Linked DNA regions of Schizosaccharomyces pombe. Changing the gene in region 1 together with any one later gene gives a genetic interaction. Each region holds a gene or a part of one and is shown in the gene's direction. Other genes may lie near its edges. The genes, in order: win1, wis1, cdc25 and mkh1.

Region 1 (9,428 bases):
AAAATAAAAGGCTGGATTTGGTTGATTTACATATATTTACTCTTCTTTTGAGCCTCGTGTAGCTGTTCTGTGATTACTTTTATAAATGTGTTGTAGTTTGGTTAGAAGGTTTGTCGTTTTTTTGTTTTTTGGTAAAACTAAATGAGTGAATAGAGGATGTCAATCTGTATTTTGGATTGAACTTTTATTTACTGCGTATACCTTTGTGGAATTAATTTTTTTGCTCAGAGCTAACGTATTTGTGTTAACCGTAACTGTCCAGTCGTACTTTTGTAAGGAATTAGGAAGTTCCTTTTGCTAAAAGTTAAATGGTCTGTAGTAATAAACAATTCTGCTAGGTAAAAGTTATTATTAATCATTGATCCATTAACCTATTATATTCGCTATGTTTATATTAACTGTGAGATTAAAGGTTGCATCACTTTACGCTCTCAAAAACGTAGCTTTAAACTGCAAACATTATTTGACTAGTTTTAAAGAGTTTGACTTTTAAGTCAATGTAATGAAAGAAAAGAAGAAAACAATGTTTTCCCTGCATCAACAGAGTTAGTTGAAGAGTTTATCGTAAGCAAGTAAAGAAAGTTGAAAGGCGTATAGCAACTTTTGATGCTAACATTGTGCTCATGAACGAGCAGTGGCTTTGAATCTTTGTAGAGTCATTCATCTTTTCAGTTTTTGGCTAACTTATTTATTTTAAGTTGAACATTTTTAATGAATAAAACTTGTAATAGACAGTCTTTTCCATTTCCTAGTCTATCTCTGCTAGCATTCCATCTTTACAAAGCCCTATTTAACGTAACCACGATTAACGCGTTATAAAGTATTTATCAGAATTATATAGCGCTTAAACAACATAACGAATTGCGTTCTTTGATGTTATAGAACTTTGTATTTCCTTATAAATCATTTACAGATTCATGTTCAAAATTCGTTATGTCGTTCTCATGACGACCGTTTGTTTACTAACAAAAGCGTGGTCTTGACGAAAGTGCCTTCTACCATTATTTACACACTTGAATGGGTTGACGCGTACAGTCTTTTCTCTACGGCAATAATTCTTTCTTTAATTTAGCTTAAGAGAAATATAGATTTACGAGTATTTCGTCAATGGGAGTTGTATACGGCAGTCAACAAAATTTAAGTGAATATTTCTATTCTTCTGTCAATATGGCAGAGGTTCCAGATACTTTCGAAGAGAATAGGGGTCATTCTTTTGAAGGTGTGACTCTACAACGAAGGCATGTGAAAGGCATGAAAAGTTATGGTTCAGATATTACACCGAGGCGCCCTAAACAGCTTGGATTACCGAAAGAAGTTAACACCTCCGAATGCATAGATCAAGGCTCATGGAGGAAACCCTCAGCATTTGAAAGCTTAAGAAGTTACTCCCGAAAATTTTCTAAACGAATTTTTTCATTCATAGGAGTTGAGTCAAAAAGTACTGTACAACGCAACGCTTCAGGTGCAGACAGTACGTCGTTGTCTCACTTTACGGCGAATGAGATAAACAAAGGCAACTGTAAAAAAACTGCGTTAAGTAATGAATTTAATTCGGCCAATAAAGGGAGCAAGGCTAGTGGTGTAGGTGCTGAACTACCTTCAGTTAATGGATTTATTGAAGGTGAGCTTCATGATGATAATGAGACAGATTCCTTTCGGATAAATGAATTAGCTAAGCAAATCCAAGAAACTTCTTTGGGTGCGACTACGCAAGAAGATGAGAGTTCGGATGGTATTTGCTGGGACGAGTTATCGACTACTTCGCCAGAGTCGTCGAAAGTGTCGGAACCTATCATTCAAGACAATACGCAAACGACTCATATAAATAACGATTCATCGGATATTCGATTTTCATCTCGTTGCGATTTATTTGCGGACGATGCGGATTCAGATTGGGAGCAGGACTTTAATGTGAAATTCGATAGTCCATTGATAATTCCCGAAACGGTAAACAGTGCAGGACACACCGTTCGAGAACAGCTTTTTGAGGTGAAGGAATTTACGAGATCCATCAAAGGTAAGACATTCATGTGTTGTAATGCTTTAGTTTTAACCGCTGCTAACTAAAAACACAAATAGACTTAAAAGATCTTTACGAAAAGGCAAATTCCAAAGATATTTACGACAAGGACTCAGAGATTTTAGGAGAGGCTAAGGCTATTCTACGGTTAGCGGATCCTGCAAATTATTCTGATTTAAAGGATGAGGACGCGCAAAACATTTTATCAAAATATAAAGTTAAGTTGGAAGGGGATTCTTCATTAGATTTCGATGCGTCCATGCTACCAGGGCTAAACGATCATGTGCATTATTTAATGTCCCAACTCCAACTATTATTACACTGAGTTTCTCTTTTTGGCTATTTAATCCATTAATGGAATGGGAAGTATCTATTTTGTTATCCAAAGTGTCAAAATTTCGCTTAGGATAATTTCAATAATTGTGAGAACAGTTTCGCATTGGTGGATAGCAAGTAAAGGTGAAACTGGCCATTACAACCTTTTTATACTTCTGCATCTTAAGAAGCTTTTGGTTTTATTGTAAATTTCTTTCGTTTTCTCTTTTTAATAAATCTATTTTGCAATAATATTTCGGAAAAAGTACTAGACAGATGTTTTGTCTTTTGTGAATATTAGTCCAACCTTTATTCTGTGATAAAAAGATTTTATTAAATTAAAGTAAAAGAATGTAAATCAAAAATACCTGAAAACCCATATCTATGATTTTGCTATTTAGTGAGAAATTCCTCATTGCACTGAAAATCCTTAAAACTAGTACCCCACTTCATACTATACTACGGGGTTAGACCACAATTAGTTGTTTATCCTTTGCACACCGCAAACCTATAAATTTTCTTTTTGTCAATTCCACATATTCTACAAGGAGGATTGACTTTTTAGTTCACTGATTATTGCTCTTTCAACAATTTATACGCGGTAGTTTTACTGCTCTTCGGCTCGTATAATTTTTTTACACAACACTTTTATCGATTTTTTAAGCCGAATTTCTACATTTAATATTTTATCATTTTTTTCTGCTCATTAATATTTACCGTATCTTTTCGAAAACCCATTGCTTTGGATGTGTGTGTGTGTCTCTCTCTCTACGTTCCTCAATTTGACTGCATTACTTTAATATACTTACAACCTGAATTCTGTTCGGTTGGTAATTCCTGCAATCGTTATTTGTCTTTGTCAACTTCGGATTTTTTATTTTTACATATAACAGTAGTTGCATTGACTTCGCTGCACAATTCCTTACACTGAGTTGGCATTCCTTGCATCTGTAAACCACTTTTTCATTACCCACTCCCATTTTTGACTTCAGTAAACAATTATTCTACTACTACTTGCCACTATTCCAAACTTATCTGTTTCCCGTTTTGGGTTTAAATTTGGGTATAACGGTCTTTTTTATACATAACTTCTGAAGCAATTCGAAATTTGTTCCTCAACAAACATGGAAAATATTTTGGATCCTTCTGTGGTCAATTCACATATACTAGAAAATGGCTCAAGGCGATCTTCTATCAATCCAATTCTTGATAGTGAATTGCGTGATAAAACATTTGAAAAGGCTCATCGTCGCTCTTTGACTTTACTTTCAAGTTTTACCTCGTCTATGCTTGAACTTCCTAACAACGGAAAAGAAGAAAATCACAGAAGGCCATCTGTTGCGCGTAGCTCAAGTGATAGATCCAAGGCGAGCGCCAAAGAGGACTTATTTTCAGAAGCTTTCAGAATGGCTGAACAGCCTCCAGCCGAGGCCCTTACTATTTCTACCCCTGTTGACCCAATCAATATTGATGAATTAGATCGTGCTTATGCCGTAAGTCCAAGCGATACTAGTAATCTACTACATCCTCCTACTTCTTCCTCTTCCATTCCTATACCAATTAAGAATGCTGGTCATTCAAACCTCGATCATCCTATCCGACCTAGTCTGCAAAGTAGTATTAGCTCAAATAGGATAATAAAGTCTCCCGGTATTAAGGAAGACGATTATATGCACAGAGGACGTTCTATTTCGTCGCCAATGATTGATGTTGAACACATAAATTCAACAGCAGTTCCAAGCAAAACTAAAAATTTGCCAGAAAAGCCCAAGCGTTCTCACAAACTAAGAAATTCTATAACATTTGCTAAAATTGAAGATCATCCTGAGAGGAAATCTCAATTAAGACGACTGAGTAGTTCGTTAAAGTGTTTTGACCCAGAATATGATTATAACGATCCTTCTCTAAGCATTCGTCGTGATAGTTCAACTTATTACTTTTCTAATGTTAATGAAACTTATGATGAGGAGGACTCGGATTTAGATTCTGAGACTTCAACTGTAAATTGGGTACAATCTGTTCTGAATCTCCCATCCTTACTTTCTGATGATTTAATGGCTAACCCAAAAAACAAAGAACGTTTTGAATGGCAATATATGTTGACTTCAGTTCTGACTGGTGATATAGTCCGATCTGAAAAATTACGGCTAAGAAAGATTGCTTCTTCTCGAGAAGGGCGAAATAGTGATTATTCTGATAATTTGTGGATGGAAATATGGTGTTGGCTTACTCATCGTTCCGTTGATTCTTATAGAGAAAATTTAAAACATCTTCGTACGGGTATGGTTGATGTGCTACTGGCCATTATGAATTTTCATTGGGATGAGAGCAACGAATTAACCCCTATTGTTGCTGTCGATAACATGCTGCAAAAACTTGATAAATATGAACGTTTATATCCTTCACGTCGTTCTATCCTTCAGGAACATTCATTATATGCTTCAGAATCTTTTCAGCACAAGTTGGATGTCTTGACGGCTTATTCTAATGTCACTCATGCGCTAGAAATTCAAGTTAACATTATTCGCTCGTGGGTTGGTAATGAGGAAATGGACATTACCAAAAATACTACAAATTCTATTAATAACGTTTCTCAAATTTCAAACGGACCATTTGTGGAGCGCTTTTATAGAGAAACCGGTTTGATTCGAGCTTTTGAGCAAAGAATCATGACTAATATGAATAGCGTATTAAGCAAAGTTTGTAATACGATTGTTACATATGCGGATGATTTAAAAAGTTATGGCTTGCCGCTTATTGCTGATGATTACATGCGTCTTCTTTCTTTTCCGTTTAGGTTAATCAAAGAGTTCCTAAATCTTCGCTTATCATGTGCAGAAAATATTACCTCAATTTCTTTATTTACGATTGACTCTTTACTAGATGACCTTCGGAACACTATGAAAGTTGCCGTCCATATCATTCAACAACACACTGTTCTAATCAAACCTTTTCGTGATGATAGCAAATTTGTTGATGAAAACCAGTCCTTAAACAATATTTTAGTTGCCTCATTGAAATTTTACTTCAATTTATTACATCGTAAGGTTCGCAATGGCTGTGCCTTGCTGCATTTCAAAGAAACCGAAATTTTAGAAGGAGAATGGGATTTTCTGCTCGCTGTTTGTCCCCACATCGAACACGGATTCCAAATTATGTCTAAAAGTCTTTCTTCGCTGGTTGGTGAAATATTGACCAATATCAATAGGTATCTAAAAGATCAGCTGCAGGGGCCCGATACCGATGACTCTGCATTGATCACCTCATTTTATATCAAGGTGCTTGACTGTGTTAGAATTCGCTTCCGAAAATTGATGAGTTTTACTCGTATACTAAAAGCGCATTTGGAAAATTCTTGCGAGTACGTTATTAAAGAGAATTCATTATCCCTTTTAATACAACGCCTTGAAGAATCAAATCACGTTTTGACATATACGGCGAGTATCGAACATGAAGGAGCATACGTAATTGTTCCAGGACACCTAGTTGATTCCCCTAATATACTTCGTGAGGTACTTTCAATGACTTTTAATAAAGGAGATAATAATTTTGAAAGTGTACCTCCATATGCGGTTGTATTGGCTCCAGACAGCTCAATATGTTGGAACGGCCATGTTACAGATCTTGATATTCCGGAAGTGTCAATTTCCATTGCTCCTAACTGTGTCCGTTTAGTAACGTTAGCGACAGCTAATCAACTCTCTGTTATCGAAGATTATTTTATTAGTATAGTTGGTGACACAGTCTCACTTGTTGATTCTGCGAAAGCAAATTCATCCAAAATCAACAAACAAATGACCAAAATTAAACGAAATTCTTTGAAGTTGGCTTTGTCATTGCTTGATGTGATACAAACAATTCGTACAAGGTACCATGGCATGAATTGCCAAAATCTAATTCATTATTCTTTTTCTTACGCCATTGAATTTGCACAACGATTAATGAGGCTTTCGATCCTAGACGCATCTAGCATTGGGCTGATTCGTCGCAAAATGATACAGCTGGCGATCAGTTGGGTTGGATTCATCTATGAGGATTGTTCTCCTACCGATAGAAATACGTTTCGTTGGACTGTTACGGCTTTAGAATTCGCAATGATTATGACATACGGTTCGAACATTTTAATGATTGATAAAAAATCATTTGAAGAACTCAAAGAAAAGGTTGGAAAATGTGTGGCATTATTACTTTTGCACTTTGATGTTATGGGTACTAAACATGCTGGTCGTAGTATGGACCAACAAGCTGGAGATATACCAGCTCGCCTTGTTCGAAATAATTCCGACCGAAGTCGTTTATCGGATAATGAGTTGGCTTCCTTTGTCAAGGAGGAGGTTATGCATCGGATAATTGAACTAGAAAGTAATAGAAGGGACCGACTTTATAAGTCCCAGCTCATTGGACGTGTTTTGGATGATACGACAAAGGAGAACAGGCTATTGAAAGAGCTAGCCTCTTCGAAATCTAATATCACGATTCGATGGCAACAGGGTGGACTTATAGGTAGCGGTTCTTTCGGTACGGTTTATCGTGCTGTTAACTTGGATACAGGAGATTTAATGGCTGTTAAAGAAGTGGCATTGCATAAACCTCGTATATCTAGACCGATGATCAAGAGGATTAAAGGTGAAATGTTAGTACTTGAACTCTTTGATCATCCTAATGTCGTATCGTATTATGGTATCGAAGTGCATCGTGAAAAAGTTAATATATTTATGGAACTTTGTCAAGGCTCTTCGCTTTTCGAATTTCTACGTTACGGTAGAATTGAGGACGAATTGGTAATTCAAGTTTATGTCCTACAATTATTAGAAGGATTGGCTTACATACACTCCTGTGGTGTTTCACATCAAGATGTAAAGCCTGAGAATATCCTTTTTGATCACAACGGGATCATGAAATTTACAGATTTTGGTTCTGCCAAGATGTCGGGTTCTGCTTCAACTAAAATTTTTGAACAGTTAACACAACAAGAAGAGGAAGAGTTTGAAAAAGACTCGGAATTTTTGCAGCATCTAGACCAAAATCGCGGTTACTCCTTGACAGGAACACCTACGTATATGGCGCCAGAATTAATTCTTGGTAATCCGTCCGAAAGGGTTGGTGCTATGGATATTTGGTCACTTGGATGTGTTATTGTTGAAATGGCTACGGGTTCCCCACCTTGGCCTAGATTAGATAATCATTTTTCTTTGATGTATCACATTGCTGCACATAATCCTCCTATTATTCCTGCAGATGATCAGCTTTCGCCTTTGGGTCAAAATTTCCTCAAACGTTGTTTTGTTTCTGATCCCAATCAGCGCGCTACAGCTGCCGAATTATTAATGGATCCATGGGTGTATCCCTTACGGGCTGGTACGGAATTCGATCTTATGAACTCATCCGTAGTCGAATCAGCGCCTTCTACCAATGGTGCTCCGTTGGAACTTTAGATGTTTGCTATGTTTTACACCTTATGACTATTTTTTGGATACGGTTTTAATTTAATACTTAATTAATAGAGACGAGAAATATTATAAAGTCCTAAACACTTTGTAAGTTTTGTATTCGTAGCAATCTATGCGGTATTCATTAAATGAATCGTTATTGAATTAGTTGAGTGTAAAAGTGACTTTATCATAGAATCATTTTTACTACGGCGCTAGGAAGAGACGTTAATTAAATTACCTTGCTACAACAATCAAACGTAAATACAATGCATATATTGATGAGTTTCATTGTTACGCTAATATACAAGATAGATCAGCCTAATGCTGAATTTTTTACATTTGTTTAGATATGTCAAGCTAAAGAGTTCCTGGATTCTACCAGAAACTTGGAAATCCAATAAAAATAATCCGATTTATTTTATCTGCCATAACATTGATTTTAAAAATTTTAATAAGTTTTACCTAAGCAGCAAGAATGTCGGAATCGCCAGCATCAATAACTGCTAATACACCGACGCGAAATAATTTACCACATGCAGTTCCTAAATCAATACTTGAAAACAGTTAGTAAAACAAAATTCGACTCCCAATTAAGATCTCTGTCGAAATCAAAAAGGCTTCAAAAAGCTAGCCATTAAACAGTGTTTCTCAACATCAATTGCTATATTTTTCTTTCAAAGAAATGATGGTCATAAAATTAGCATAGTTTAAATGTAATGGTTTAAAAGTAAAAATAATTTCAAAACGCTTCTAAGTCAAAGTCGATGTTGAGGAAAACCCTTACAAGCTAGTTACTTACTTGTTTCCACTGTAGTGGTGTACAGAGCAGCGAGAAAGCATCGCATAGTATTCCAACTCGGATTTACGTAGAGGAGGGGCATTTGCGGCAATGAGGATCAATTTAGCTTTACCAGAACGAAGGGTTTTTAAAGTCGATTTGTATCCCAAAACGTATTTCCCACTTTTCATAGTCAACGCCAACTTGGAATTAATAGTATCTCCCGACTTCTTTCCCTTTTTGGAAACAGCGGCAACGGGTGCAGTGGTAGGTGCAGCAGACATTTTAAAAAAAAAACAAGGAAATAAAGAGATAAAAGGCTTAGGGTTTTCTGCCGAAAGATAGAAGTTTGTAAAGTTGTTAACTAAATGAAATTCAAAGTAATGTTTTCCAAGAAAAACAGTCACATAAATCCAAACAACAAAACTTTTAGTTTCTGTGCATTGGTGCGTAGTTCGTTAGTGTGTGGTACAATTTGCTATAATAAAATGTAAACAAAAAATGTCAAGTAATAAAAAGCAAATTTCTCAAGGTAAAGAAATCATCACTTTTCATTTTTTGTTTTATTTTAATTATTTCCTCAATAGTAAAAGATTTGTATTTTACGATATCTCGCGGATCCAATGGCTCAATAAACTATAATGCAGTTATTTCTAGCCTTTGTCCCTCTAACGATAAATTGTTCTTTGCAGTCGATGCGCTTATCCTTCAATTCATTTAGAAGTATTTATTGAAGCTAAATTGTAGTCTTGAAAATGCCTAAACTGTACGTTAAATTATTGATGGTGCAGTACGAATTGAGAGCAGCAAATAAATGGTTTTGAGTTCTTTTTTTTTTATGTAAATATGTGCCATTTGACAAAATCGTTAAGCGTTTTTTTCG
Region 2 (5,136 bases), on another chromosome or scaffold:
CCTTTCCCCAAAAAACAACTACCATTCGTATGTACAGTCGTCTTAGTCTACTATTGTATGGTATGTGGCATACGCAGCCGTGGGTGCCAGCCAGCAACCATACCAAGTCAAAAATTTCTCTTATAGCAAATCAATTCTTCATTCAATTCAAATAATGTAAAAAAAAACGCATCTATAGAAACATACGATGAAACTTTTTAAATACAAACTAATAATGAAAATACTCGCAGACTAACAATGAAAATACTCCAAAATCTAATAAAGAATTAGCAATTTGGCATTTCATGAAACCGTAAAGCGTCAAACGAAATGAAATCTAATAAAATTAATAAAATTAAAATAAAATGCCTTCTTCTTCTTCTCAGTTTCATCGTATGATTTTCTCTTTTAATTTCTTCATTTTATTCCACTTTCCTTCTCTTCTTTAGTTTTTCCTCATTTTTGGATGTTGGGAATACAGCCTCTTTCTATCTAGTTTCATCTTCAGCCTTTTTCACCACATGTTCAATCATTCGACTCTTTCTGTATTCTTCTATCTCAATTGAACATTATTGAGTCTGTTTTAATGAAAATTTTTTTTGTCTTCCCTTGATGTTGGCGCAAAACTAGACGTTCCAAATTTTTTCTCATTAATAAAGGATTATCCTCAAATCGTTTTTATAGCCCCCTTTCTACTTTGTTCGAGCATACACCGTACATTATGCATTTGCATATAGATGGAGTGATCTAGGAACTTTTGTAAATTTTTTTCTCTTTGCTTGTTTTTCCTTCCTACGAAAGTTCTACCCCTTCGTTGCACTTTTCACTTCAGTGTCTTTTTCCATAGAACAAAATGTTCCTAGCAGTTTTGCTGCTACTCTTACATTATTTTTGTGTGTTTCCTTAAACAAAAGAAATTTAAAAAAATTAGAAAAAAAAAAAAAATTTAAAAATAAATAAATTTTTTTTTACGCTGCTTCTAGAGCACAAATAACACACTCTCTTCATTCCACTTGCTGAACCTTTTAACGATTATTAAAAAATGTTTTATTATACATTACTACACCTTTTCGAAACACTTGTGCGTTAACTCGCTTTTTTTTATCGCTCTCAAGGACGGAAGCTACTAGGTTAGTTATATTTCTCTTATTTATTTGGTTATACATTTTACCTTGGATCATGATTTTTCTTAGTATACATTGACATTCGAATACCAGCTTTGAAACTTAAAGCCCTATGCACCTAATCATTAATTATTTTTGTTTTTATTTATTTATTCTTTATTCTTTTCTAATCAAACACTACCATATCTATCGGACAATTCAATTCCTTCTGTCAAGACCGATAAATCGTTGTGTTTATCTTCCATTAAAATATTTTTCGGCCCTTTTTTTTTCTGTTTTTCTTTACTTCTATGTATTATTCTCTATACGTTGAGCATTTTACCCAATCATCCTGTGCTTTCCCATTAATCCATCGAGGTATTTCTTACCAGCTATTTCTGCCGTACATTCTTTCCATTTGCATATAAATCTCAGGATACCTTGTTAGAAATCTTGTCGAATGATTCATACAGGTCGTTACGCTTATACGGAGATCTGCAGCATATTATTTGGCTTCACGTTATTTTGATTTTACAAATTTGATTGTATCCCTTAACCATCCCTTGTTTTGATGAAACATTTTTTTATCCACGTTATCCTTATATACTGATACGTAAGCTAACGTGCAAAAGTTTCTCCTTAAGATTAAGCAACGTGTTGTCTGACTTTCGTTATCCTTTTATCCTTCACCAACTCCATCCCATTCCACCTTCTTGTATACCCAAACATACCCCAGCCGGCTGGCGATAGCTGGGATTCCTAATCTCTCAAGCATTCCCTTTCGACGTGTATATCTTATTTACATCGTACCGACTACACTTCCTATTTTATCACCCTCCCTAAATTTTCCCATTTCCTTTAAAGAGCAGAATTTTTTTTGCTCTTTACTGTAAGAGAAAAGCGTTTCTGAATTTTTTCTCTTCCTTCCACACCCTTACGTGTTATCTTTTAGAAAGATAATTTCAAATTTCTTTCCTTTTTATTTCGTGTTTGTGAATTATTACTTTTTCTCCTTACCTTTGCCTCCTTACTCGTCGGTCATAACTCGGTTTTAAAGTATTGACTTCTCGGACTAAGATTAACCCACACCTTTTTACTTTTTTTTCTTTAGTTCTCCTTGGGAAATTTATTATCTAAGCCCCTGTTTCTTCCAGTTTCTGGCTTTTGCTGTTAAATTTAAACCCTTCCAAACCTCCTTTTTTTCCGTGGCATTTACCTACACAAAGCTACTCGTAGGTGATTGCCTTTAAACTTCCTTTTTTTTTCTTGGAATATCCTTCCTGCGGACTTTTTAGACCACCGCTTTTTTTTTCCTTCTTCGTCGGAGACGACTCGTAATTGATTGTCTAATTTTAATTGTTCTTTTCACCCAAGATACCTTTTTTGTATTGCCATCTCACTTTCGTTCATCTTCACTTTTGCTTCATTTATATTACCGGAATTTAGTTTACCTAATTTTTTTTTCTTTTTTTTTAAGTTTGTGAAGCACATTTATTTTATATGTCTTCTCCAAATAATCAACCCTTGTCTTGCTCATTGAGACAGCTGTCTATTTCTCCTACCGCACCTCCCGGTGATGTTGGTACTCCCGGCTCGCTCCTTTCTCTTTCGTCTTCAAGTTCTTCAAACACCGATTCTTCTGGTTCTTCCTTGGGTTCCTTGTCTTTAAATTCTAACAGTAGTGGCAGTGACAATGACTCAAAGGTTTCTTCTCCTAGTCGTGAAATACCTTCCGATCCCCCTCTTCCCCGTGCCGTGCCTACGGTCAGACTTGGCAGATCTACGTCCAGTCGGAGTCGTAACTCTCTTAACCTTGACATGAAGGATCCTTCGGAAAAACCTAGACGTTCACTTCCTACAGCAGCTGGTCAGAACAATATTGGATCTCCTCCTACTCCACCGGGCCCATTTCCTGGAGGACTTTCAACTGATATACAGGAGAAATTGAAGGCCTTCCATGCATCTAGATCAAAATCAATGCCGGAAGTAGTCAACAAGATCAGTAGTCCAACTACCCCTATTGTCGGTATGGGTCAACGAGGAAGTTATCCTTTGCCTAACTCTCAACTTGCTGGTCGATTAAGTAATTCGCCCGTAAAGTCTCCGAATATGCCAGAGTCCGGGCTTGCAAAATCACTTGCTGCTGCTAGGAATCCTTTACTCAACCGTCCAACGTCCTTCAATCGACAAACGAGAATCCGTCGTGCACCACCTGGAAAACTCGATTTATCCAATTCCAATCCCACCAGCCCTGTCAGTCCGTCTAGCATGGCTTCTCGCCGTGGCCTAAACATTCCTCCCACCCTTAAACAGGCTGTTTCGGAAACCCCTTTTTCCACATTTTCGGATATTTTGGATGCAAAATCAGGCACCTTAAATTTTAAAAACAAAGCCGTGTTAAATTCAGAAGGTGTTAACTTTTCATCTGGCTCTTCGTTTCGTATTAATATGTCAGAGATTATTAAGCTTGAAGAACTTGGAAAAGGTAACTATGGTGTTGTGTATAAAGCATTGCATCAACCGACTGGTGTCACTATGGCCTTGAAGGAAATTAGGTTGTCCTTAGAAGAAGCAACATTTAATCAAATTATAATGGAATTGGATATTTTACATAAAGCAGTTAGTCCTTATATCGTTGACTTTTATGGTGCCTTTTTTGTGGAAGGTTCTGTTTTTATTTGTATGGAATATATGGATGCTGGTAGCATGGACAAACTGTATGCTGGTGGTATCAAAGACGAAGGAGTTTTAGCTAGAACTGCTTATGCTGTAGTGCAAGGCCTCAAAACTTTGAAAGAGGAGCATAATATCATTCATCGTGACGTTAAACCTACTAATGTTTTGGTAAATTCTAATGGCCAGGTTAAGTTATGTGACTTTGGCGTGAGTGGGAATCTTGTGGCTTCTATATCCAAAACGAACATTGGATGTCAATCTTACATGGCTCCTGAAAGAATTCGTGTTGGTGGACCTACCAATGGCGTCTTGACTTACACCGTACAGGCTGATGTGTGGTCTCTAGGCCTTACCATTTTAGAAATGGCTTTAGGAGCTTATCCGTATCCACCTGAATCATATACTTCAATATTTGCACAACTATCGGCGATTTGCGATGGCGATCCACCTTCTCTCCCCGATTCATTTTCTCCCGAAGCTCGTGATTTTGTAAACAAGTGTTTGAATAAAAACCCGTCTTTGCGTCCCGATTATCATGAGTTGGCTAACCATCCATGGTTGTTAAAATATCAAAATGCAGATGTGGACATGGCTTCATGGGCAAAAGGCGCTCTTAAAGAGAAAGGTGAAAAAAGAAGCTAAAGGTTCGCCTGCTTTCTAATTGCCTGCTCTGTTTTAAAGTACCCATGCGCATTGGTGTTTGTCTTTAATTTCGAATGCATGACTATTACGTGATCCATAATTATGTTTCAGCAGAACCGACGCTATTTTGCATTTGTGCTTTTTCATAAATTTAATAATTTGGGTATGATTCCGTATAACGGTAGTTGATGTTTGCATTTTTGCTTTAAATTAAAACGGGTATTTAATGTGTTATTACATTTGTTTAAGGCATTTACGTCCACCATAAAAAACTTTTTTTTTATTTAACTAAGGGGCTTTAGAAGTGCAAACGAAAGTTTGCAATTGTAAAAGTTACTTGTACTGTATTAATTTATTTCTTTTAAAACTTCGTTGACTGGCTCCGTCGTTTTAGCTACTATGATCTCCTGTTTCCTACAATGGTGATTACTTAGAGAGATTGAATCCATCGTAAATGCAAGTGTTAATAGATATTATATCGACCTAATAATAATTACTTAAACTATTAATATATTACTCAAAGAGATTTGAGGTATTCATTTATTTAAAAAGTACGAGACTTTTATATATCAAAGAAACAAATTCTCCCAACATAAGTCCAACAAGGTAATCTAGAGTCATAACAGATTTTTATCCTGGAAATGAAAATTCCTTCATAGTGGAATATTTTTTGAGAAAGAACGCCGTAATATATTACGGTCGCTTTTGAGATGCGTATTTCGCTTTTGCAGTTTCA
Region 3 (7,119 bases), 4.6 Mb from region 1:
CCTTGGCCATGGATACCTCTGTGCTCAGCGCTATTGAAGTTGACCCCTTTGAGAACCTTGATGAAACTCAAACCCTATTTGAGGAAACCTATGGTCTCAAGACCACCGAAGAAGAGCGTCAATTCATTCGTCGTGCATGCGAATTGATTGGAACTCGTTCTGCCCGTCTTTCTGCGTGTGGTGTATGCGCCCTTGTTCGTAAAATGAATAAGCCATCTATGATTGTAGGTACTGATGGTAGTGTCTACAACTTATACCCTCGTTTTAAGGATCGTCTTGCTCAAGCATTTAAGGATATCCTTGGTGAGGAAATTGGCAGCAAAGTTGTTACCATCCCCGCCGAAGACGGTAGTGGCGTAGGTGCTGCATTGGTCAGTGCTCTTGAAGCCAAAGGCAAGGCCCTCACTTCTGATATTCTTGCCGAGCATCTTAAGAATTAAGTCCACTCATTGTTTTTAGGTTTTACGGATACTCATTTGATTTTGTGTCACTGAACTCCACGAAGTGTTCGACAAACTGTTTTATACTGCACTTTTTATTTGTTTCATACTCCATCTTTTTGCGTACAATTTGTTCCAGCAATTTTTATGGTTACACTTTTCTTTGTCTACTAATCACGTATCAGGGCGTTTTTACAAAAAGGTGCTCCACCTGATAAAATATTTTCTTTTTTGCTCTAGTGTTTCTGTGGATACGATATCTGCCTCTGATTGCTAGAATACTTTAAATAAAGGTTAGAGTTTTGTTATATTTTGTATGTTGAAGTGTAATAATAGCGGTATCTTTGTTGAAGATATCCGAGTTTAACAAGACAACTGGCTATACTATCTTGCGAAATATGCCTACTACGACAATAATGGTATCAACCCATAGCTACATAACATCGGGAGACTTTCAATGAGTTACACCCTCGTTTTCCAATTCGGAATGACAGTCCGAGTCCCGAAGTAGAGAGATTCATCGTGTTACGATTATTCGCTAACACCTGATAACATATTTTATCTCGCTGCTCGTGTTACATATCAGGAGTGCGGGTATGAGATTATGGGGATTTAATGGCTGTCAAGCAGGTTACCTGACGTTTGTTCTTATGTATTTGTTTACACATACACAACATTTGGCGTTGCTAGGGCAACAAATCAGACAAACTGCGGTGGATCGAATAGCTGAGATGTATGGACATGTAAACAAACATACAAGATGCAAAAATTTATGTGTTTTCATCTAGTTCAATGTTGTTAATGAAATGATTATTTGCTTTTATATAATTAATAGATTAAGAGGTGACATATTGTAGCTTGAAACGGCATTATCTACGCAACTAAACTATACAACAATAGTTGTCATGGCTGAGGTGTTGGCTAAGTATTACAGCTTACAGTTTAACTTTGCTTTAATCATGTATTTGTTTTTATTATTGTTTTCTGTTACTCGAATTTGTTGGTTGGTGTTTTATTGTTGTTGTTACCTTTGCTTTTTTTTCCTCTCGGAGGCAGAGCTGAGATTTCTCTCTACCCTCAACTATCTACAGCGCTTCAAGCTCTTCTCCTTTAGATCAAGTGTATTACATTGAAAATATTATTCTTAAGAATACCAAAGTTGTAAGTTTAAAAAGAACTTGATGCCTGTTAGTTTCGGGCATCCTTCTCTCCTCAAGTTGGATTCCTGTTGATGCTTCTCAAGTACTAACTGCTGGTTCAGTGATTTTTTGAAACGTCTATAATACAATTGCTTACGCTTTTTAAGGCAATTAATAGGATTCTTGAAGTTATTTGTTCAAGAAGCCTTTATATGGTAAAGTGGGGGGTTTATTACTTGTAACGAACTTTGAGTCTGAACTTTTGGGTATTCTGTTGTTTTCATATTAATCAACTGCTTTCTTTTAACTTTCTTTTTTCTTTCATTTTTTCTTTCAACGACAGTATCTTTTATATTCTATATTATAGTCGTGACCGTTGGTGCTCATCTATTTTTGTCTCATTAATCTCTTTTTTTTTATATACTTTTATTCGGTCTTCCCGTCGTGTGGAGTCTAAACTTACTTAAACTTCTTTCCGGTTTCTTTTGTAAAGGTTGGTTTTGTTTAATATTTGGCTATATTGCTTTCATCCTGTCTTTCTTTTAGTTTTCTTTTTGTCTCACTTTGGCATTAATATCTTAAACCGGTCTTTTGACTCTTCCCTAGGATTTTCCTTTATAATTTATCTTACTTGCTCTATTGATTTCTCATTCTGAAACTCAATCTTTTGCAGTCGTGTCGTCCCATTAGTTCTTTTTGCAGTGTACTTGGTTTAAATTAAATTTACCATTTTGTCTGCTTTTAATAATAGTTAAACCTCAACTAAAATGGATTCTCCGCTTTCTTCACTTTCCTTTACCAACACTCTATCTGGCAAACGGAATGTATTGCGTCCTGCTGCCCGTGAATTAAAGTTGATGTCGGATCGCAATGCAAATCAAGAGCTGGATTTTTTCTTCCCGAAATCCAAACACATTGCCTCAACATTAGTGGATCCTTTTGGAAAAACTTGTTCGACAGCTTCACCTGCATCTTCCTTAGCTGCTGATATGTCAATGAACATGCATATCGATGAAAGCCCTGCCTTACCGACTCCTCGTCGTACGCTCTTTCGATCTCTTTCTTGTACTGTAGAAACCCCTCTCGCTAACAAGACTATTGTTTCACCTCTCCCGGAGTCACCCTCGAATGACGCTTTAACCGAGTCCTACTTCTTCCGGCAACCTGCATCGAAGTATTCCATTACCCAAGATTCCCCACGTGTTTCCAGCACTATTGCTTACAGCTTTAAGCCTAAAGCATCAATCGCATTAAACACCACCAAAAGCGAAGCTACTCGTTCGTCATTATCGAGTTCTTCTTTTGATTCCTACCTTCGTCCTAACGTCTCACGTTCTCGATCATCAGGCAACGCACCCCCATTTTTGCGATCCAGATCGAGTTCCTCATATTCCATTAACAAAAAGAAGGGAACTTCTGGTGGACAAGCTACCCGCCATTTGACTTATGCCTTATCCCGTACCTGTAGTCAGTCGAGCAACACGACCAGCTTACTTGAAAGTTGTCTTACTGATGATACGGATGATTTCGAATTAATGTCTGATCATGAGGATACATTTACGATGGGCAAGGTTGCTGATTTACCAGAAAGCTCTGTTGAACTTGTTGAAGACGCTGCCTCTATTCAACGTCCCAACAGTGATTTTGGTGCTTGCAATGATAATTCTTTAGATGATCTTTTTCAAGCTTCACCCATTAAACCTATTGATATGTTACCCAAGATAAATAAAGATATTGCCTTTCCTAGCTTGAAAGTTAGGTCCCCTTCTCCGATGGCATTCGCTATGCAAGAAGATGCGGAATATGATGAGCAAGATACACCAGTGCTTCGTCGTACCCAAAGCATGTTTCTCAATTCCACAAGACTAGGGCTTTTCAAAAGCCAAGATCTTGTGTGCGTTACGCCAAAACAATCGACCAAAGAAAGTGAGCGCTTCATCTCTTCTCATGTCGAGGATTTATCTCTTCCTTGCTTCGCCGTGAAGGAGGACTCATTGAAACGAATTACCCAAGAAACATTGCTCGGTCTATTAGATGGTAAATTTAAGGATATTTTTGACAAATGCATCATTATTGATTGCCGTTTTGAATATGAATACCTTGGGGGCCATATTAGCACTGCTGTGAATTTAAATACGAAACAAGCTATTGTGGATGCCTTTTTAAGTAAACCTCTTACTCATCGGGTTGCACTTGTTTTTCATTGTGAACATAGTGCGCACAGAGCACCTCATTTGGCATTGCACTTTCGAAATACCGACAGACGAATGAATAGTCATCGTTATCCTTTCCTTTACTATCCCGAGGTTTATATACTTCATGGTGGTTACAAGTCGTTTTACGAAAACCACAAAAACCGTTGTGACCCAATTAACTACGTTCCGATGAACGATGCTTCGCATGTTATGACCTGCACCAAGGCTATGAATAATTTCAAACGAAACGCTACTTTTATGCGTACTAAAAGTTATACTTTTGGCCAAAGTGTGTTAGCTTCCCCAGACGTTAATGATTCTCCTACTGCCATGCATTCCCTCTCTACACTTAGAAGATTTTAATGATTTTAGGCTGACTCAATACTTTACCTAGCCTGAAGTATACTCTTATATATTCAACTTTCTAAACCTAAGTTTTTTCTATAAACTTTGAATCATGAAACCTTTTATTTCTATTTTTTATTATTATTATTGAAAGAAAGCAATATACCTTTTAAAAGGTCTCGACAACAAAAAATTTAAACTGGCTAAACTTTTCGAAGTACATCACTTTTACGACTAAATATCTAGAACGACTAGTTTGGTTATTATTATTACGCATGGATTTTGGTTTAATAATTGATTATTTTATAATCAATTGAGCTTAATAATTTCTAAGCAATCACGGGTAAACATACGTACCGAAGTCCATTCTAATTGCTCTTCTCGCAATTGCTGTTGATAGGAATGCTAAGAATTTAGCATTCTTTGATTGAAGCAGTAATGCGATAGGAACTGAGTTGCTTACGTTTTTGTAACTCTACCTAACCATCTCTGATGGAAATATTTAAGTAGAAAACGAATAAAACTTTTATTTTTAAATCACTTCCTTTTATGCATGTTCTGTAAGCGGTAGTATTGTAGCTTACCCTTTCCAATGGAAGGTTAAGTTCACCAGAGAGTTACGAAGTTTTATGTGATATAAAATAGTTACAATGCGGAAGTTGGACATTCACACTTAAGTACCTTCCCAAAAAAAAAATTACGAAAATTTTTAATCAATACTACTTTTTTGGTAAAAATTTAAACATGTTCCGTTGAGAAAGTGAATCATATGTGTGCTTTTTTAAAATTTGAAGATATTTGTAGATTTTGTTTTGTTTACTTTTTATTTGCAACAATCAGAATGTCGTCATCTAAGTCAACCTTAAATTCGCTTATATGAATTTTATTGATTATGACATCAACGCCCTATGAAGTGCAGCTTTGAACGCCAACGATTGTATTTAATACATTGTAGGATAAACCTCGTAATCATAAATAACGAATTGTTTAAGTATGAAAGTTTGCAGAGCACTTAATGTTCAAACAAACAAATCTTTTTAGGTACACTAATTTAAAGATTTTGGTATCTTTATGAATAACGACCATGCTTCCAAGAAATCATTTTGTATAAAGGTACTTACATTTTAAAAATAGTAAAGATTAGTTGTTGACATCTTTTAGGCTCCTTCAAATTGGGAAAAATCATATCTTGAAGTCTGGCCCTTAGTTACTGTACCAAGGCAGTGTATTTGCCTGCGATGGTGCATTTCAAAGGAATATCACGAGTTTACTTGCTCATCACTACAATTCATAGTTATAAGGCCAGCTGGCACTAGTGTTTTACTCGGACGTGTAAAAAGTTCGAAAGCTAATCAACTTGTTGGAATTGAACATGTGGAAGGGAGCCGTTATGCCTTGATTTTTCTTTCAGAAAAATTGGATTTTAAGTCTTTGAAGGTGATAGCAAATCATCAATTAACGAAATCCTCTAAAAGCTTGTCCAACGTCTCAAACAAACCTTTAGGAGATCAATTGTTCCGTTCGAACTCTTTAATGTCACCTAGTTTGTTAAAAAAGGAACTTCACAGAATTCAATCAGATGCTTCTCAAGCAAACGAACGCGAAAGCCAAGCTCCGCATTCATTCGTTACGCATGATCTTATTTCGTCTTCAAAAGATGGCAATTCCCTTACGCATGAATTTGCAAATGATTCCGTTACTGAAATGGTTCAAGATTATACTCCTAGCTGTTCACGTGACGTTAAATCTTTGTTGGACCATCTTTACAATTCCTACTTTTATCAACTATTGATGACCAAAACACCTGTTGTTTTTTATGTAAAGCAAATGGTTGGAAAAACTCGACAACTAGCAGTTGAAGTACACAATCATGTAGAAGAAAAAGCTCTAGTTGATGAACTGTTAAAATTTTTAGATAATCTTAAATCTGTCGATGACCGTAAATCCCGATTACTTCAATGTTTTGAATCACATTTAAACTATAAGGCTTGGCATTTGGAATTCGAAAATGAAGCCCATCAGTATGAGATTAAAGGCTATCGCCTCTGGCTTCAAAACATATTAAATCGAGAAAATTGTCAAATTACAAAACTTGACTTTGAGAGGGAGTTTTCCCAACTGAAATTGAAGGAGTATGAAATTCGTGTACTTTTATACTTTGAGATTCTATACCTTTTTTTAAAATGGGATCCTGAGTACGCAAGGCGTCGGGCTAATGATAACAGTTTGTTGGATTCTCGCGATAGTGGTAAACGAAAATCTCGGAAAAAAAACGCAAAAACGCTTAATCCTTTTGAAACTGCTCAATTAAAATTGGAATTTACATTTGATGGGCTTTGCATACGAAGGACTATAGAACAAAATGCTACCGAACGATCTGAGGATCTCTTATTGAAGTTTTGTAAGGAGACAATAGTCCCATATTACTCCTCTAAATTCCCTCGAATTACGCGCAACCTTTTAGAGAAATGTAACGGTTTAGATTTATTACCAGAACGCTCTCATAAGCATAGACATAGCGCTCCTCCTCGTTCAAAATTGATTAGTAGCAAATCAGAAGCCGGTCGCGCTTTACCTGGAAATACTTCTGGTGCCAGTATATCCAATACTTCTAGTCCTCATTCGGAGGCCTCTATCTCTAAGGATTATGAAATTCTTAAACGTCGAAGAAGCAATTCTGGGGTTCATTCTTTGACTCGGTCAGATTCTTCATTCAATGGTTTTGAGAGGGACACTAGAAGAAGGTCTTCCGATATAGCTCGCATCAAGAACCGTGAAATAAACCTTCCTTCTTCGTCTTTGTCAAAACAAAGAAACTCAATGCATGATATTTCTACAAATTTTCCACGAAGAAACTTATCGTTTACTGAGAAACTTACCATGGCAAGCTTACAAGGACAAAGTGAGGAAAGTGTACAGCCGAAAACAACTTCTTCTCTTTCTCGGTCAAAAACACTTAGCATTCTCGAGGGATCTGTATCTAAGCGCTCAGAACCTTCG
Region 4 (8,172 bases), 4.5 Mb from region 1:
AGCATATTTTATAAATGTTCTTAATATCTAATTGTCGAGATGATTCAAAATAAGCAGAAAAGCGCCCTGAAGAGGAAGGGTCTATACGGAATAAAAGTGTCATCCCTCTATATGTTCCTGTGACTACGTAGATTGAGGAAGGGCTTCCTTTAGGGTTCATAACGACAAACTCGGCACTCGTAAGAAAATCGGGATCAGGTTTTCCTCTTCTCTCTAATCCAAGCTCCGAGATGCTGGTGTTACACAGTATATGGGGGCCACGCATGTCGATGATTGTAATTCCACCATCCTGATATCCTATACAAACAAAACCAATATTGCTCATTTGGTTCAATGTTACTCTTCCTCGTTTAAGATCAATATAATATTGAGCATGTAATGTTCCCTCTAGAACTAAGGTATCGTCCAAACGATATATTCCGTTAGCGAGCTGAGCTGGTAAATTTTCTTTATGATTTTTCCTTTTGCAAACAATGACACGCCCAAAACTATCAGCACAACTGAATTCTGGATTATAAGTGGAAAAAGAGGCAGTAGTTATAAAAGCTGAAGGCGTGAGATGCTTTCGCATTACAGAAGAGAAATCCAAATTTACGCAGAGAGATGGATTCATAAAACCCTGAGATATATCCCAAATCGATAAACTAAGACCAGTCGATGTTATAAGTAGATTACGCTCATCTAATTTCTTAAGATAGCCGGGACTAGGAGATCCGCCAAAAAGACAGGAGTAATGTGAATTAACGGAAATAGTATCTTCAATTTGATTCCAAACTTTTTTTGTTACAGTTTGAAATGCTATAACTCGAAAATCTGAAGCAAGGAAGCATAAAGAGGGGGGAATAGAAAGGCTCATGTTTGAAATATTTCCAGTAGAAATGTCGAGCAGCGATAACGAGTTGTCTTCCGAAAGAAGGAGAAGATTCTTGGGATTATGAGATCCATTGTAATGTGGTGAGCTAGAAGGAATCACCAGCATATCACGTACAGGGGGGATGTCAATAAAAGGAAAAAAGCGTTGTGAGTTTGGATTTGCGAAAAATTCCGCAAATGTTTCAACATCCTTTTTGGCAGGGAGATTTCGATAACTGAACAATGAAATTCCCTTTACCGGTGCTTCTTTCGGCAAACCACCTAACATCAAAATAAATGAAACTGTTGGGTCTTCACAACAACACCACCTCATAGACCTAATGGGCTCAAGCTCCGTCTTAGGAGGATTTCTCTGCATGGGGGTATACGTGTGTATGTTTGAATCGACAAAATTTCGGACTTGTACAGGATATTCTTGATCCACATCCCAGAATGCAAAAGTCGAATCAGTATAGTAACTAACAAAGTGATCACCCCAAGGACTCCACTCTATCCCTTTGACTATAGGTCTTCGATAATTATGGGGTGATAAAACTGCAGCTGTACTACCTGGTGCATACTCCAATTCATAAAAGCGTATAACTTCGTCAGTCCTTATTGAGTACAAAACAACGCCATCCGGATATGCAATCAAAATCACACCGAGATCCTTCGGGTGAATCTGAACGCTTACAACTGGGGATAGCTTTCCAGGAACTGGTGCATAAGAGTAGCCTGAAAATTAGTAATAAATTCAAATAAACAACAATGACCTCAACGTACCCATCATTCGCCATTCCTCGTGTCTTGGGACATACAAATTTGGAACTTTGAATTTTCCAAGGCAATGTCTAGTAACATCCCATGGCACAACGGAGCCATCACTCATTCCAAAAAAAACCCAATCAATAGTAGGATCCGTTACGGTACATGTAACTTTTTGCTTGAGAAAGTAAGTGGCAGCTGGTTTTGAAAGGTCACGATGTTTCATCAAGGGATAGCTTAAGACCGTATTTCGAGAGTCAATTACAATCAAATACGCCGCACAAAGGGCTATATGGACAATGGTTGAACAGTCTGGAACTATCACACTCTGGACATGCTGTTTACCGTAAATGTATATCCGATTAGTACTAGATACAATAGCTAGTAAGCCTTGTTGATGGTCTAAACACCATAATACTGGATTTAAGGAAAACCCAAATCGATTCAACTAATCTTTGTTATTAAACATTCAACAAGCATTGCTTCCCTACTTACGTCGTCTATCGATAGTGAAGCATTTGAAGACGTATGGGTCTTCAAATTGGATTTGGATAAAATTTCTTTTCCCTTACTTAGCTTTTTTTTAAAAAAGCTCATATTTTCCCAATTCTTGGTATAAATATACTAATCATGTTATACCCTCGTAGCATATACAAACTCACGCTCAACTCGTGTTAGAGAACGCTATTTTTGGATAACGTCTTGTGCCGTTAAACCAATAATAATGTAAGCTACGCAGTTTGGTATCTGATTTAAGGATACGTAAACTGCGGTGAGTTTTCCTTGTAACCTATTATATTACAATAAACAGGTTGTATGAGTAGCAACTGAGTATTGTATTAACTGTGTTATAATGTTACCTATCACTAATATAGCTCATAACTGAACTGAGGAACGAGGTTCAGTTGTAACGCTATTTATAATATTTCTAAATAGTTGTTATCAACTGGTAACTAGTATATAGATGGATAGTTACCCGTGATTATCAATAAACGGATCTTAGCTAGTATTCCAACATATGACATATAGTGATACACAACGTAGTGTATCATAGCGTAATGTAGTATTGCTGACAAATAATGAGACTTCTAATTTTATCCTTATAGCACTGAATTCGACTTTGCATCATTCACTAGTCAAACCGCAAGCGATTTTGAGCGGGCCTAAAGCCAGACACCAAGCTGGAGATTGCTTGGTTTACCCGTGAAGGTTTATAGAATCGAAATATCAGTTTTACATTGATAAAGTATCTATTTTTAATTCTCTATTATTTTCTAACAGGCTTCTGTGGAATTGGCGGTATCATACGGGCTGCATGTCAAAACACATGGGAAGTCTTTTTGCAATATCTTTAAACCCTGAGTACTAGTGATTCAACATTTCTCTCCTTTCTTAATATTTTATTTACCTGCAAGAAATTGGGCTATTACTAACATCCCAAGTCTGTCTTTTGCAAATTAGTTCACTCGTTTCAGCCGAATCTTAATTTTTTTAATCATAAACTACTTAAGCAGCAATCTCCAATTCGTTTGACAAAAAAAAGGTTTTTTATCTTGAATTCTTTTCAAAGTAACTAATACTGTTCTGGGTATATGGCTGCCGATATCGGATCGCAGTCATCAGGCTCTTTGGAAGAACGGTTTGAACAGTCTCTTCATCTTCAGAATGTCGATAAGCAAGATTGGTCACTTAACAGTGTACTTCAGTTTTTAAAACTATACAAATTTAACAAAGAATGGGAAGACGTTTTTATTAAAAGTCGAATCGAAATGGATTTATTTATCAATTTGGCCGATCAATCAAAAGCCGAGGAATTCGCCTTTAAAAATAAATTGAGCAAGGAGTCTGCCATCCAATTGAGTAGCTGTATTCGCAAAACACTTTTAGCACCTTCTTCGACTCGCGTACCTAGCAAAAACTCGTCTTACGAAACATTAACTTACAGCGCCAAAGATAGTTCGGATGACGTTTTTACAGAAACTAACTCTGGTTTCCGCTCTTCAAATCAAAATTCGTCCCTCAAAAGCTTTCAGAGTGTTCCTGATAGCAATGTGAACGTGTTTGGTGGCTTCGGTGGATCAGTAGTCGACAACAATGAGCTATTGAGCACAGGAAAAAACTCCCATCAAACAACCTCTTTAAATTTGGAAGGCTCTCCTATAAACTTACACGCTTACAAAGGAACTGTCACTTCAATAATTAACGATGACAGCAGAAACATTAATAAAAAAACATTGTCGAAACAACCTGTATCCGAACATAAAGAAAAACAAACTAGCTTTCTCCGTCGTTTCCGGGTACCTGGGTTTTCTCGTGACAAGGATAAAACTAAAGATTGCCCTTCTTCAAATTCGAACCCATTCCATTTAGCTTCTTCAAATGTGAAAACATTAGACGCGTCTTTGGATCAAGGTGAGTGGGTACCTCGTATTCATCGTTTAGAAAGTCAAATTGGTTTAATATCCAAAAAGAAGTCATTTGTTCTTGCTACTATGGATGATATGAAATTCACAGTAGTGGATATTACCAACGTCCAAAATGCTACTCAGCTACGTAAGCTAATAGCTAAGAGTATGTATTTAGACATTTCAATTGACCAGTTTGATTTGTTTCTCACGGAAGTCGGCGGGGCTCAATACATAGAAATATTAGATGATAGAAAGCTTGATATTGCAAGGCTTTATTCTGATGAATTTGGAACTATTAAATTTTTCGTAAAGCCATCACAAAATGAAGAATCGGGTATGGATAGTGATACTTATTTATCTTTTGGCACAAAATCAAGTTCAACTTATAAAGCTGATGATGACTCAATATATCATCGCAAGGAAGATTTTAAAAAGCAACCAAGTTACCCTGTGCTTACTTCGGATTTTGAAATTACTGATGCAGGACCTAATTTATCATTATCAGGGCATCAACCTGATAATAAATACTACAAAGGTTTTAGTTCGGCACCGAATTTGGCAGTTGTTCCAGAATTACCATCTCGACGTTTTCGAGGGTTTGAAAAAATCCGTGGTGCTAAAGGAGAAATGGCTACAAAAATTTTGGATGCCACTGAAGCCCAAAGTGAAAAAAACAAATTTACCGTTTGTAGACCTCACAAGAAGGTCACATTGAAAATGCCACTTAATTCCGGCTCTTCCGCTCCCCAAAGTCCTTCATCTAATACTTCTGCTTCTGTTTTAACTAGAAATTTTGTGGCACATAGAGATCCTCCACCCCCACCCACAGAGACATCTAGTTTACGTCGAAAAAATACATTGACTCGTAGACCAAGTATTCGTCACGCTCGGTCCTCTCCTTACATTGATACCGGACATAACGAAGCTAGCAAATTTTCACATACGTCTTTTGACCCCAAAGCATCTAGTAAATCTTCTAATTCATTAAAGGAAAGTGTGGAAGCTTTATCAGAAATACCTTTTGAAGATGCGCCTGCACTAGACGAATCGGATCTTTCTGGGGATCCCTTTTGGGCTATACAGCCCAAACAATCTTCCTCCCAAGTACCTAAAGAAAATCATCACAACATTCAATCCAAACTTTCCATTAACACAGAGGCTGCTACGGATTTGAAAGCAAATGAACTATCTTCGCCTAAAACTCCTGAATACTGTAGAGGTGATGACAGATCCATTAGTTTATCACCGTTATCTTATCGTTTAAGAAAGTCCAAACATATTCGTGAATCCCCACCGTCTTCAAAGGTTATCAATTCTGGTAACTGGGAAGTTCGTCCATCTGCTGATGATCTTTATGAGGATGTTGATCGATTTTTTCCCCGTTATGATTTGGATAAAGTACTTGTAGTGGACCAAAGCCGCATGGTTTCTTCCCCTTCAAAGGTATCGATACGTCCGAAAATGAAGTCTGTACGATTATTAGCCCGCGAAGCATCTGAAGCTCGGAAAGAAATACGACATAACGCGAGACGCAATAAATCTGGAAATCTTCTACGTCGATCAAGTACGAAACTTTGGGGCTCTAGGATTGTAGAACTAAAACCAGATACTACTATAACTTCTGGATCAGTTGTTTCACAAAATGCCACGTTCAAATGGATGAAAGGAGAATTGATTGGAAATGGTACTTATGGTAAGGTATTTTTGGCTATGAACATTAATACGGGTGAATTGATTGCAGTAAAGCAAGTTGAAATACCACAAACTATTAATGGCCGTCATGACCAATTACGCAAAGATATCGTGGATTCCATTAATGCAGAAATTTCTATGATTGCCGATTTGGATCACTTAAATATAGTGCAATATCTGGGTTTCGAAAAGACGGAAACGGATATAAGTATATTCCTGGAATATGTTTCAGGTGGTTCAATTGGTCGATGTTTGCGGAATTATGGTCCTTTCGAAGAGCAACTGGTCCGTTTTGTATCACGCCAGGTGCTCTACGGGTTGTCTTACTTACATTCTAAAGGTATTATACATCGAGATTTAAAGGCTGACAATTTGCTCATTGATTTTGATGGAGTTTGCAAAATTTCAGACTTTGGAATATCTAAGCATAGTGATAATGTGTATGACAATGACGCAAACCTGTCCATGCAAGGATCCATCTTTTGGATGGCACCTGAAGTAATTCATAATGATCATCAAGGATATAGTGCTAAGGTCGACGTCTGGTCCTTGGGATGTGTAGTGTTGGAAATGTTAGCTGGTCGTAGACCGTGGTCTACAGATGAGGCTATCCAAGCTATGTTCAAGTTAGGTACCGAGAAAAAGGCGCCTCCTATTCCTAGTGAATTGGTGTCTCAGGTATCACCCGAAGCGATTCAATTTTTGAATGCATGCTTTACTGTGAATGCTGATGTAAGGCCAACCGCAGAGGAATTATTAAATCACCCGTTTATGAAATGTGACGAAGAATTCAACTTTAAGGACACGAATCTTTACGACATGCTTTGTAAAAGAAAGAGCTAAATTGGTCGCAATTATTATTTATTACTTAGCGTTTCCTCGCAGGGGCATGCATTCTCAATTTCTTCTTATAGCTATTTATTTAATATTGAAATTAATTTTGAAAATTATTACATTATTATACAAACAAACATACATGATCATTTTCAATTTCTACAATGTATTTAAAAGTAAATTTTCATTTTGTCAAAATTGTTTCGTTTATTTAAAATTAAAACTGATATTAATAAGATGTACTCTTCCCGTCTGAAACCTTCCTTTTTTTGAGTTCCCTAGTATTTCGCTTTGGTAAACTTACCTTGTTAAGAGGATTAAAACCCCGTTTCCCAAATTTATTTTTTCCTACATCAGAGTCTAAGTCAGCAATAAAATTCTTTTGATTTTTATAATCAAAAGGTGCTTCATTGATAATTGGACTGTCATTAGAAACATGTTCGGCTTCAATAGTAAGTTTTCCGCTGTTCTTCTTTTTCTTCTTTTGCTTCCGTTTTTTTGACACTGAAGTTGAAGCTTCCGAAGGTTCAATATCTTCATTTCGCTCCTCTATGGGGTTTGAGGGTTCTTTATGATTAAGCTTAGAAGAATCCCTTTTTTGCTTGTTCAGCCCTAAATCCCTAATGACTATAGGCTCTTGTTTCTTCTCTCCATTCAGACTCGGGTTTGCAGCTTCAGTTACAGTGGACTGCTTTACATTCAATTCGGATTCAACATGCCCTTGAGTACAAGGAAGAGTTAATGAAAAAGGAATATTCTGGTTCACTATAAAGAGTCTCTCTTTACGAGCTTTCCGTAAATCATCTTGCGACTGTCCCTCAATCCAAAACGCAGATCCATTTGCCAGCAAAGTCTTTAGTTTACTTCTATTTTGTTTAGAAATCTCGAAAACACTGGAGTCAACTTTGTAATCACCCAAAGTATTCGATTCGGAAAAAACTGCTAGCGGTTGATTTTGCTTCTCAACTTCTTTAAATTGGGATTTCTCACGATCTACTTGCTCATTATACAACTTTTCGGCTTCTTGAACGACTTTAACGATATCTTCAACATACATGCGAGCAATTGGTGTCAATTGCTTAGAAATTGAAAACACATCAGCCGCTTCAACCGGTTTACTGGCGGCAATCGCAATAAGTAAACGATTTGGCAACACATAGCGAACACTTTCATCTTCTTTTCGGGCTACGGAATCTCTCCAATCGTGCAGTGCTCGATAAATCATCAAAGCTTCCCGTCCAATTATTTTAGAAGAGCCAAACTTAGTAAGTACATTTCTCCAGCCATCAGTACCAAGTCCATAAATAGGATCATAAGGCTCAAGTTCATACTTTCTAAGAGATATTTGTTTACTGGAATTGAACACTGATTGCATAAGATTTTCTTTTCTTTCAGCTGATTTTGATATGAGTTCATTTCGTAAATGATCCCAAATATATAACAAATAATGCGTATCAGATTGAGCATATTTTAACATTTCCCGAGGCAAAGGACGGATTCTCCAATCAGCCATTTGGTATCTTTTATCTGCATCATAATCACAATACTTTTGTAACAGAAAAGCCAGACCATGACCCTCAAATCCTAAAACTTTAGTAGCATAGTATGTATCAAATAAGTT

The links.
Region 2: of win1 (region 1) and wis1, a mutation in one rescues a mutant of the other (synthetic rescue), as found in Schizosaccharomyces pombe (4 studies listed by BioGRID, with this or other methods).
Region 3: of win1 (region 1) and cdc25, changing one enhances a phenotype caused by changing the other (phenotypic enhancement), as found in Schizosaccharomyces pombe (one study listed by BioGRID).
Region 4: of win1 (region 1) and mkh1, changing one enhances a phenotype caused by changing the other (phenotypic enhancement), as found in Schizosaccharomyces pombe (one study listed by BioGRID).

Annotation. Positions count from the first base shown.
Region 1 is NC_003424.3:5,086,982-5,096,409, forward strand, and holds win1 (MAP kinase kinase kinase Win1), read left to right. Parts: upstream 1-2,834; 5' UTR 2,835-3,459; coding exon 3,460-7,770; 3' UTR 7,771-7,867; downstream 7,868-9,428. Other genes in the region: Spg1-binding protein Etd1, read left to right, coding at 1,108-2,017, 2,080-2,345; rpl3002 (60S ribosomal protein eL30), read right to left, coding at 8,230-8,320, 8,567-8,829. UniProt on the Schizosaccharomyces pombe protein: Involved in a signal transduction pathway that is activated by changes in the osmolarity of the extracellular environment. Activates the wis1 MAP kinase kinase by phosphorylation.
Region 2 is NC_003423.3:1,143,231-1,148,366, reverse strand, and holds wis1 (MAP kinase kinase Wis1), read left to right. Parts: upstream 1-1,763; 5' UTR 1,764-2,582; coding exon 2,583-4,400; 3' UTR 4,401-4,636; downstream 4,637-5,136. Other genes in the region: ubiquitin hydrolase Uch2, read right to left, coding at 5,094-5,136. UniProt on the Schizosaccharomyces pombe protein: Dosage-dependent regulator of mitosis with serine/ threonine protein kinase activity. May play a role in the integration of nutritional sensing with the control over entry into mitosis. It may interact with cdc25, wee1 and win1. May activate sty1.
Region 3 is NC_003424.3:476,768-483,886, reverse strand, and holds cdc25 (protein tyrosine phosphatase (M phase inducer) Cdc25), read left to right. Parts: upstream 1-1,513; 5' UTR 1,514-1,601; exon of another isoform or gene 1,602-1,701; 5' UTR 1,702-2,346; coding exon 2,347-4,137; 3' UTR 4,138-4,659; downstream 4,660-7,119. Other genes in the region: hxk1 (hexokinase 1), read left to right, coding at 1-440; DNA replication pre-initiation complex subunit Sld3, read left to right, coding at 5,191-5,232, 5,281-7,119.
Region 4 is NC_003424.3:611,886-620,057, reverse strand, and holds mkh1 (MEK kinase (MEKK) Mkh1), read left to right. Parts: upstream 1-2,782; 5' UTR 2,783-3,209; coding exon 3,210-6,560; 3' UTR 6,561-6,689; downstream 6,690-8,172. Other genes in the region: sro7 (Lgl family protein), read right to left, coding at 1-1,587, 1,636-2,065, 2,113-2,214; exosome 3'-5' exoribonuclease subunit Rrp6, read right to left, coding at 6,781-8,172. UniProt on the Schizosaccharomyces pombe protein: May regulate cell morphology, cell wall integrity, salt resistance, cell cycle reentry from stationary-phase arrest, and filamentous growth in response to stress. Activates the MAP kinase kinase skh1/pek1 by phosphorylation.